Linked DNA regions of Saccharomyces cerevisiae S288C. The protein of the gene in region 1 purifies or fractionates together with the protein of each later gene. This does not show direct contact. Each region holds a gene or a part of one and is shown in the gene's direction. Other genes may lie near its edges.

Evidence for each region.
Region 2: the proteins of TAF3 (region 1) and TAF13 purify together in Saccharomyces cerevisiae (affinity purification with mass spectrometry; 5 studies listed by BioGRID). This does not show direct contact.

What each region holds. Positions count from the first base shown.
Region 1 is NC_001148.4:533,142-538,841, reverse strand, and holds TAF3 (Taf3p), read left to right. Parts: upstream 1-4,138; coding exon 4,139-5,200; downstream 5,201-5,700. Other genes in the region: RQC2 (Rqc2p), read left to right, coding at 1-3,022; RET3 (coatomer subunit zeta), read right to left, coding at 3,255-3,824; mRNA-binding protein RRP12, read right to left, coding at 5,433-5,700. UniProt on the Saccharomyces cerevisiae protein: Functions as a component of the DNA-binding general transcription factor complex TFIID. Binding of TFIID to a promoter (with or without TATA element) is the initial step in pre-initiation complex (PIC) formation.
Region 2 is NC_001145.3:75,275-78,270, forward strand, and holds TAF13 (Taf13p), read left to right. Parts: upstream 1-1,992; coding exon 1,993-2,496; downstream 2,497-2,996. Other genes in the region: ARG81 (Arg81p), read right to left, coding at 1-1,766. UniProt on the Saccharomyces cerevisiae protein: Functions as a component of the DNA-binding general transcription factor complex TFIID. Binding of TFIID to a promoter (with or without TATA element) is the initial step in pre-initiation complex (PIC) formation.

The sequences.
Region 1 (5,700 bases):
TGCCGATTCCTCAAAACAATTTTTGCTGAAATTTAATAAACCAGATTCTAAACTCAATGTTGTTGTCGATTGTGGCTTAAGAATTTACTTAACTGAATTTAGTAGGCCAATACCTCCAACTCCTTCCGGCTTTGTTGTCAAACTAAGGAAGCATCTTAAAGCTAAACGGTTAACAGCTTTAAAGCAAGTAGACCAGGATAGAATTCTTGTTCTACAATTTGCTGATGGCCACTTCTATTTAGTTTTGGAATTTTTCAGTGCAGGGAATGTCATTCTTCTAGATGAGAACAGAAGAATTATGGCTTTGCAAAGAGTCGTTCTAGAGCATGAAAATAAGGTCGGACAAATTTATGAAATGTTTGACGAATCACTTTTTACCACAAATAACGAGTCTGCTGATGAATCCATAGAAAAAAACAGAAAGGCAGAATACACCTCTGAACTAGTCAACGAGTGGATAAAAGCAGTTCAAGCCAAGTATGAATCAGACATTACTGTTATTAAGCAACTTAACATTCAAGGGAAGGAGGGCGCTAAAAAAAAAAAAGTGAAAGTACCTTCCATCCATAAACTGCTGCTTTCGAAAGTCCCTCATTTGTCTTCAGATTTATTATCAAAGAACCTTAAGGTATTCAATATCGACCCTTCAGAGTCTTGTTTAAATCTTTTGGAGGAAACAGACTCACTCGCCGAATTGCTAAACAGTACTCAGTTAGAATATAATCAACTTTTAACTACCACCGATAGAAAGGGTTACATTTTGGCCAAAAGAAATGAAAATTATATCTCTGAAAAAGATACTGCCGATTTGGAATTTATTTATGATACATTCCATCCCTTTAAGCCATATATAAATGGGGGAGACACTGACTCTTCTTGTATCATTGAAGTTGAAGGTCCTTACAATAGGACGCTAGACAAATTTTTCTCAACAATAGAATCCTCTAAGTATGCTCTACGTATACAAAATCAGGAATCGCAAGCGCAAAAGAAAATCGATGATGCTCGTGCCGAAAATGATAGAAAAATACAAGCTTTATTAGACGTCCAAGAACTAAATGAAAGGAAAGGCCATCTCATAATTGAAAATGCACCCTTAATAGAGGAAGTTAAGCTTGCTGTTCAGGGTCTAATCGATCAACAAATGGACTGGAACACTATTGAGAAACTAATTAAAAGTGAACAAAAAAAAGGCAACAGAATTGCTCAGCTTTTGAACTTGCCTTTGAACTTGAAACAGAACAAAATTAGCGTCAAGCTTGATCTCTCTAGCAAGGAACTCAACACTTCTTCAGACGAGGACAATGAATCAGAAGGCAATACTACTGATAGTTCTAGTGACTCAGACTCAGAAGACATGGAGAGTTCGAAGGAGAGGAGTACAAAAAGTATGAAAAGAAAATCTAATGAAAAGATAAACGTTACAATTGACCTTGGTTTATCAGCTTATGCCAATGCCACTGAATATTTCAATATCAAAAAAACAAGTGCTCAAAAGCAGAAAAAAGTCGAAAAGAATGTCGGCAAGGCTATGAAGAATATTGAAGTCAAAATTGATCAACAATTGAAAAAAAAGCTAAAAGATTCTCACAGTGTCTTAAAAAAGATCCGCACTCCTTACTTTTTTGAAAAATATAGTTGGTTTATTTCAAGTGAAGGATTTTTGGTCATGATGGGTAAAAGTCCGGCTGAGACAGATCAAATCTATTCAAAATATATTGAAGATGATGATATTTATATGTCCAATAGTTTTAACTCTCATGTATGGATCAAAAATCCAGAAAAAACAGAAGTTCCACCGAACACTTTGATGCAAGCGGGTATACTATGCATGTCCTCAAGCGAGGCTTGGTCGAAGAAGATATCTTCTTCTCCATGGTGGTGCTTTGCAAAGAATGTTAGTAAATTCGATGGCTCTGATAACTCCATTCTGCCAGAAGGTGCCTTTCGGTTGAAAAATGAGAATGATCAAAACCATTTACCCCCTGCTCAACTTGTGATGGGTTTTGGATTTTTATGGAAAGTGAAAACCAGTGGAAATGAGGATAATGGTGATGATGACGAAGAAGAAGAAGAAGAAGAAGAGGAAGAAGAAGAAGAAGAAGAAGAAGAAGAAGAAGAAGAAGAAGAAGAAAAAGAAGAAGAAGAAAAAGAAGAAGAGCAACAGCAAGATGAAGACGATAGTAACGAGGTCAATGGGTTAGAGAAGGGTGGAGATTCAAACGATAGCACGAAAAACAACAGTTTTGAACACGATAATCTTGAAAAAGACATCGAAAAGCATTGCACCATATCATCCGATACCGACTCTGATTCTGGAAATGCTAAAGCCAAAAATGACAATAGCAGTACGCAGCGTATCCTTGATGAACCAGGTGTTCCGATATCTTTAATCGAAAACATAAACAGTAACGTCCGTGGTAAAAGAGGAAAATTGAAGAAAATTCAAAAGAAATACGCCGACCAGGATGAAACTGAACGTCTCTTGCGTTTGGAGGCCTTGGGTACTTTGAAGGGTATCGAAAAGCAGCAACAAAGGAAGAAAGAAGAAATAATGAAGCGAGAAGTTAGAGAAGATAGAAAGAATAAACGCGAGAAACAAAGAAGACTACAGGCTTTAAAATTCACCAAAAAAGAGAAAGCAAGAGTGAACTATGATAAACACAAGTCCGAATTAAAACCATCTCTCGATAAGGGCGATGTGGTTGATGATATTATACCAGTATTTGCCCCCTGGCCTGCGCTTTTGAAATATAAATACAAAGTCAAAATACAACCGGGAAGTGCGAAGAAAACTAAGACTTTAACTGAAATTTTACATTATTTCAAGAGTAGACCACTAGACGGTTCTTCAACTGACAACGAAATGGATTGGCCCCAAGAACATGAAATGATTAAAGGCTTGAAGGAACAGGACTTGGTTCTTCTGCTCTGTGTCGACAAGTTAAAAGTAACAATCGCTGGGCAGAAATCCACCAAGAACGGTGGTAACTCTTCGAAGAAGGGCAAAAAAAAACGCTAAATCATATGAGATGAAAAGAAAATAGACAGCAATTATAATTTTTTCATTATTTTTCATCACAGACCAACGAGAAGAATAAAATGATTAGCATGAGGTGACAATCATTTCTAAATGAGCAACATATACTTATATATATAAGTAGATACATATATATGGAAGGGAGAAAGTAAGACACTGCATATATACCATATAAGACCAGCTAAAATTTTCTTCTATCCGCTTTGCCTTGTGATCATAAGCCTTGCTGTAACCTTTCTTGAAACTTGCTCTTTGCGAAACCCCACGCGCCTAAGAAACCCTTATCCAAATCTAATGCCATTTGGGGTTCGTTCGTAGGTGGTTTAGAAACTCTGGATGCAATAGTGTTAGAGTCAGTTTCGAGGATAACACCATTATCAATGGTTTCATCAATAGCTAATAAAACCATATCATAGTTTTCTTGGATGTTTTTTTTGTCCATTCCTGAGTTCAAAATCAAATCCAAAGCTCCTCTGATTGCTGAAAATCCTTGCTGAAGAACAATTTCATTCTCTTCCAGCGAAGCAACTAAATATATCGTGATATCAATGTATTCTTTGTAAAGGACTAAATGATCCTCGAAGATTAAAATCTCCGAATCTTGCTTGTGAGTCTTACGGTATAGTTGTTTCTCAAACTCTTTTTGCTTCTTCACCGAATTGAAGAGCAATTGGTGTCCTTCATCAGATCTATGAGGAGGTTGATAATACTTTGCATAAATTCGTTCTCCTTGCTGATCTAGTATTAAAACAGCCTGAACAGTATATAGCGATAAAGAAGACATCCTGGAACAATGATGCACAGTACTCAAAATTAGCAAGCCAGCTCACAAACAAAACCTAAATGCCTAAAGAACTTCTGTCTAGCAATAACTTCGATATTCCACACCTTGTAGCCTAAACAATGCAAACGTGTTTTTTCACTTGACAGAAGTGGCGAAACGGGTAAGCTCGCGATGCTTTAGTTTTTTTTTTCAGTAATTTCATATTGCATGATGAAGGTATGCTAATATAACACTTGAAGTAGCTTCCTGAGCAATTCCAAATCACCTACTAGCGGAAAACAGCGATATCTTTGGGTCAATAGAGTTCCTCTGCTATGACTACAAATAATGACTTCTATTTTGCTCTACTACGCATATCTATTCTCCAATTATTGAAGGCACAAGGATTTGACAGGGCAAGGCCCAGTCTGGTGGATGTCATGACCGATCTCTATGCAAAATTCTTGAGTTTGTTAGCATCAGAGGTCAGTTCTATCGCTCAGGCAAGATGTGATCAGGACGATACAATTGCTTTACAAGATATAACTCTGGCTCTGGAAAATCTAGGTATTGTTAAGCCTACGAACGTTCTGGATGTCTATGATGAAAACTCCGAATTATCAAGTTCACGAGGAATGGAAAAGTTCAAGGACTGGTGTATTTATAGTACTCAATTGACCGACGCGCGAATAACTGCCTTACCCACAGTAGAATTACTACAAAGTGAGGAAAAAGAATCTGATCCTTTGTCAGCAATACCTGACTATCTCAATCAATTACTGCAAAACAAGGGTGCGAAACAGAAATTAGAAACAAAGAATAGAAAAACAGAGTTGATAGAAGATCTAATAAATAATAATGGATTAGATGATTGGATCAAATTAGTCATTGCTAGACAACGTATAAACATGATTGAAAGAGCTTCCAAAAAAGAATCTCAAAATGTACCGGCTTTACCACATATTGCAGGCTATAAATCTTCCATTCTAAGCCGCCATCACCACACTACCATAACAAACGAAGATAGGATGCCTTCGGCGATGACCCCAAGAGATGAGGATGCCTTAACAGAGATCCAAGAAAATCCATTTGTAACTAGCAAACTGCCGATAATGAGAAAAGAAAATAGGTTAGAAAATATAACTCTTTCATTTGAGGATGAGGAGCTTGAATCACTTGGCGAAGTGGAAGGCCCTAACCAAAAGTCTCAAGAAAATAACAATGAGGAAAGTTTTAAAGAGAACAATAAAAGTTTAACAGAGTCTCCTCATGGTGATGACCGTGACATATCAATGTTTCAATTCGACTCAAATGTTGATACTAAATGGGCAGAGCAGGAAGATATGGACAGCACATTTCAACGTCGAACCTCACTAGATTATGGGGGTTACTTTTAAAACGACATTTCTGCATTTTCTTTCGTCATTATCTCATCCATATTTAATTAACCTCACATTATTACTATATAGTGTACTTTCGCTTCTTCAAGATAATAAGCAATTAAACGCCCGATTCATTTTTTTCTTTATTTTAATCATTTTTAATATACAGTATTATAATATTCTTATATATACATATCTGATTTTTTCTCCAGGTGTGTAATTAGCCATATTGCTCAGTTTCAATCTTCTATAATTTTTTTCTAGATTTGAACTTTGGACCTTTCTTATTATGTTTGCCAATCTTGTTACCTTGATTTACTCTTCCTCTCATTAGCCTACTATCCTTTTCACCATCATCATCATCGCCAAATTCATCAGAGTCCTTTCCATTTTTCCTGAATTTCAGCTTGTTTCTTTGACCTCTTACAGGACCACTTTTCACAGCCTCTAGATACGCATTGATTCCGCTTGTCACAGCACTCAATGGATCGTCTACATTAGTAGAGGGTTTAGGT
Region 2 (2,996 bases), on another chromosome or scaffold:
GGTTTGTAATTATCATCTTCTTCACTTGGTAAAATAACAATTTCCTTTGCCCTGACTTTATCCAACGCAGTGCTATCTTGAATTAACTTCAGAAACGAGAAAATCCTGTGTAAGGTTTTTGTCTTTTCAGAAATATTAGGTCTTAGTTTCATTCTTGACTCAACGAAGTCTTCACAAAGAGCCAAGTGATCCTGGCAATCTGCCATCGTCCCCCATACAACATCAATAGAGTTCATAGATAAGATCGCAGTTAGTACGTCTTTATATTTCTCAGGTATGCTTGATTTTGTGTTCAAACATAATCTTAGAAAGTTCGAGGCTTGATTTCTCAATTCGATACCTAGGCCCAGAAAGTATTTTTGTAGTTTGTAGTTCCTTGGGTACTTGCTTTGCAAGTGGAAGCAAGAGACAGCAAGAAGAGCATTCAACAACGCATTCCTCGAGTTGGAGGATTGTCCCAAACCCGCTAAATCGCCTAATGCCATCAAGGCTCTGGGGAAGTATAATGTTTTCCATGGGTTCTTTTCGAGCACGACCACTGTCATTTTATCTGCAACATTATTAAAATAATGATTTAAAAGAAATCTCGCTAAACCATGTACGGTAAGGTCTGTTTTGGGTATAATATCTACCAATTCAGGTGGTAGGTCACTGGAATAGGATGTGAGTTCTAACATGGACTTAGGCATGCGTGATTCTTCATTTGGAGGAGCTAGAGTTATTTTATTCAGATCAGATGCGGGCAGAGATCTTGGTTCAATATTGACGAACACATCGTCGATCAATGCTTGAGGGTCTGGTTCCTCACTGTTCGAAGAGTTTTTCTGGAAGAGTAACTTCAAGTTTTGCTGGTAAAGTTTATCATTGGCACTGGCTGCTTTATTAGGTAAAGTTGATGAACCTTGATTATCAGCCTCAAAGGCACATCCATGTTCTTTGGCATTCACATGCTCTTCCCCACTCACGACATTAGAGTTTTCCTCTAATGAGATTTCTTGTGGCTGTGTGTGTCCTAAGTGATGTCCCTGTAAGGTCACCGCTGACAATAATGCATCATCTCTGAGTTCACTCGAGATCCATTCGTAACCTGTTATATTCAGATTGTTCCAGTCATAATCTAAAAGATTTGGTGTTGGTGGAACACCATCATTAGCAGAGAGAATACCTGTCTTTACATGCCCTTTATTTCTCAACTTGTCTTCAATATGTCTAATTGGAAAGGAAATAGTTGAAGAAGATGGTAAAGAAGATAACGAAATAGAAGCTGAGCTCTCCAAGCTTTTGGCAACTCTTTTCCTATTGCGCTTCTTCCTTGGAGCGTACTGCTTGTCGATCTTATCTGTTCCTTTAAACACCCCAAATTTCTTTATGATCCACGTCTTGTTATCGCTTATTTTCTCAATTGGGGGAGTATGCAGCATTGTTAGCTCATCATCCATATCTTCATGATACACGTATTCTTCATCATAGCGCACAAAATCGATGTTCCGTCGTTGGTATTGTGGTTCATCGACACTACCTGATAAGTTCGTAGTAGTTGCAGGAGAATTTTGTGGGATTGGGACACCGTACGGGTCAAATTGCATAGGCTTAGACCACCGGAGTTTGATATCATAACCGCCACAAGGCAAATTAGACTTTTCACATCGTTGGCAGTGGGGATGCCGAAGATCACACTTAACTTTTCTTCCTCTGCACGTCCAACACCCAGTAAACGTCTTTGCCCTTCCCATTTTTTTAGGGCCATTCTTGCTGGAAATTCCCATTATATCTGCAACTTAAAATTTTCGAGGTACTGATATCGGTAACTATTGCCCACTAAAGCATCAAATCTAAAAGAGATGCTTTTCGCAAGGTGTATTTTTTTTTCATTTATTTTTGAGTTCTAGCGGAAACCGCAGGCGAAGAGTCATTGATAACAAAGAAGGTTCATCAACAACTGCAACATGAAATCCAAAAGGTAACGGCAGGCGAGGGTGAGCTGGATAAGATATGTCTAGGAAGCTGAAAAAAACGAATCTGTTTAACAAGGATGTAAGTTCCTTGCTTTACGCTTACGGCGATGTGCCGCAGCCACTACAAGCTACTGTGCAGTGTTTGGATGAATTGGTATCTGGATATTTGGTGGATGTTTGTACTAACGCATTCCATACAGCCCAGAATTCTCAGCGCAATAAGCTCCGATTGGAAGATTTCAAGTTTGCCCTCCGTAAAGACCCGATAAAGCTTGGGAGAGCAGAAGAACTGATAGCTACTAATAAGTTGATTACGGAAGCTAAGAAGCAGTTCAATGAGACAGACAATCAAAATTCATTAAAGAGGTACAGAGAAGAGGATGAAGAGGGTGACGAGATGGAAGAGGATGAGGATGAGCAGCAGGTGACGGATGATGATGAGGAAGCAGCGGGCCGTAATAGCGCTAAACAATCAACAGATTCGAAGGCAACAAAGATTAGGAAGCAGGGGCCTAAAAACCTCAAGAAAACAAAAAAATGATATAGCTACTTGGCAGGCCCGTTTACGTAGGCTTGATTCAGATATACGTAGTACATATGTCCCTTTGATTTATTAATTAGGCGTTTGCTCTATAAAAGGGGTTTTGAGTTTGCGTTGGTGCTGAACAAAAACACTTGTCATTACAATGGCACAATTTTGAATGCATTGTTTTCTTATTTATATATTTTTCCAAGTAAAATCTTAGGATTCAACTGGTACATTTATTCTTTTAGATTCAAAAACCCTGCTACATTAGTAACGGCAAACTCCTCCCTCTGATAGTTGTGTTGCAATACTCAGCTGTCAGCATTGGATAGTTAAGATGTATTGTTAAGTCACCGCCTGAAACAGCAACTTAAGCTCCCTTCTGTGCTTAGGAAGGTACGTGCGCCTCCTAACCCATCTATTATTTGATTCTAAGTCACAACGAGCCTGTACTAACGAGTTTTAGAAGCGATCGTTATCAGTAAAAAATGTCTCCTGCGGTAAGTTATTTTTAC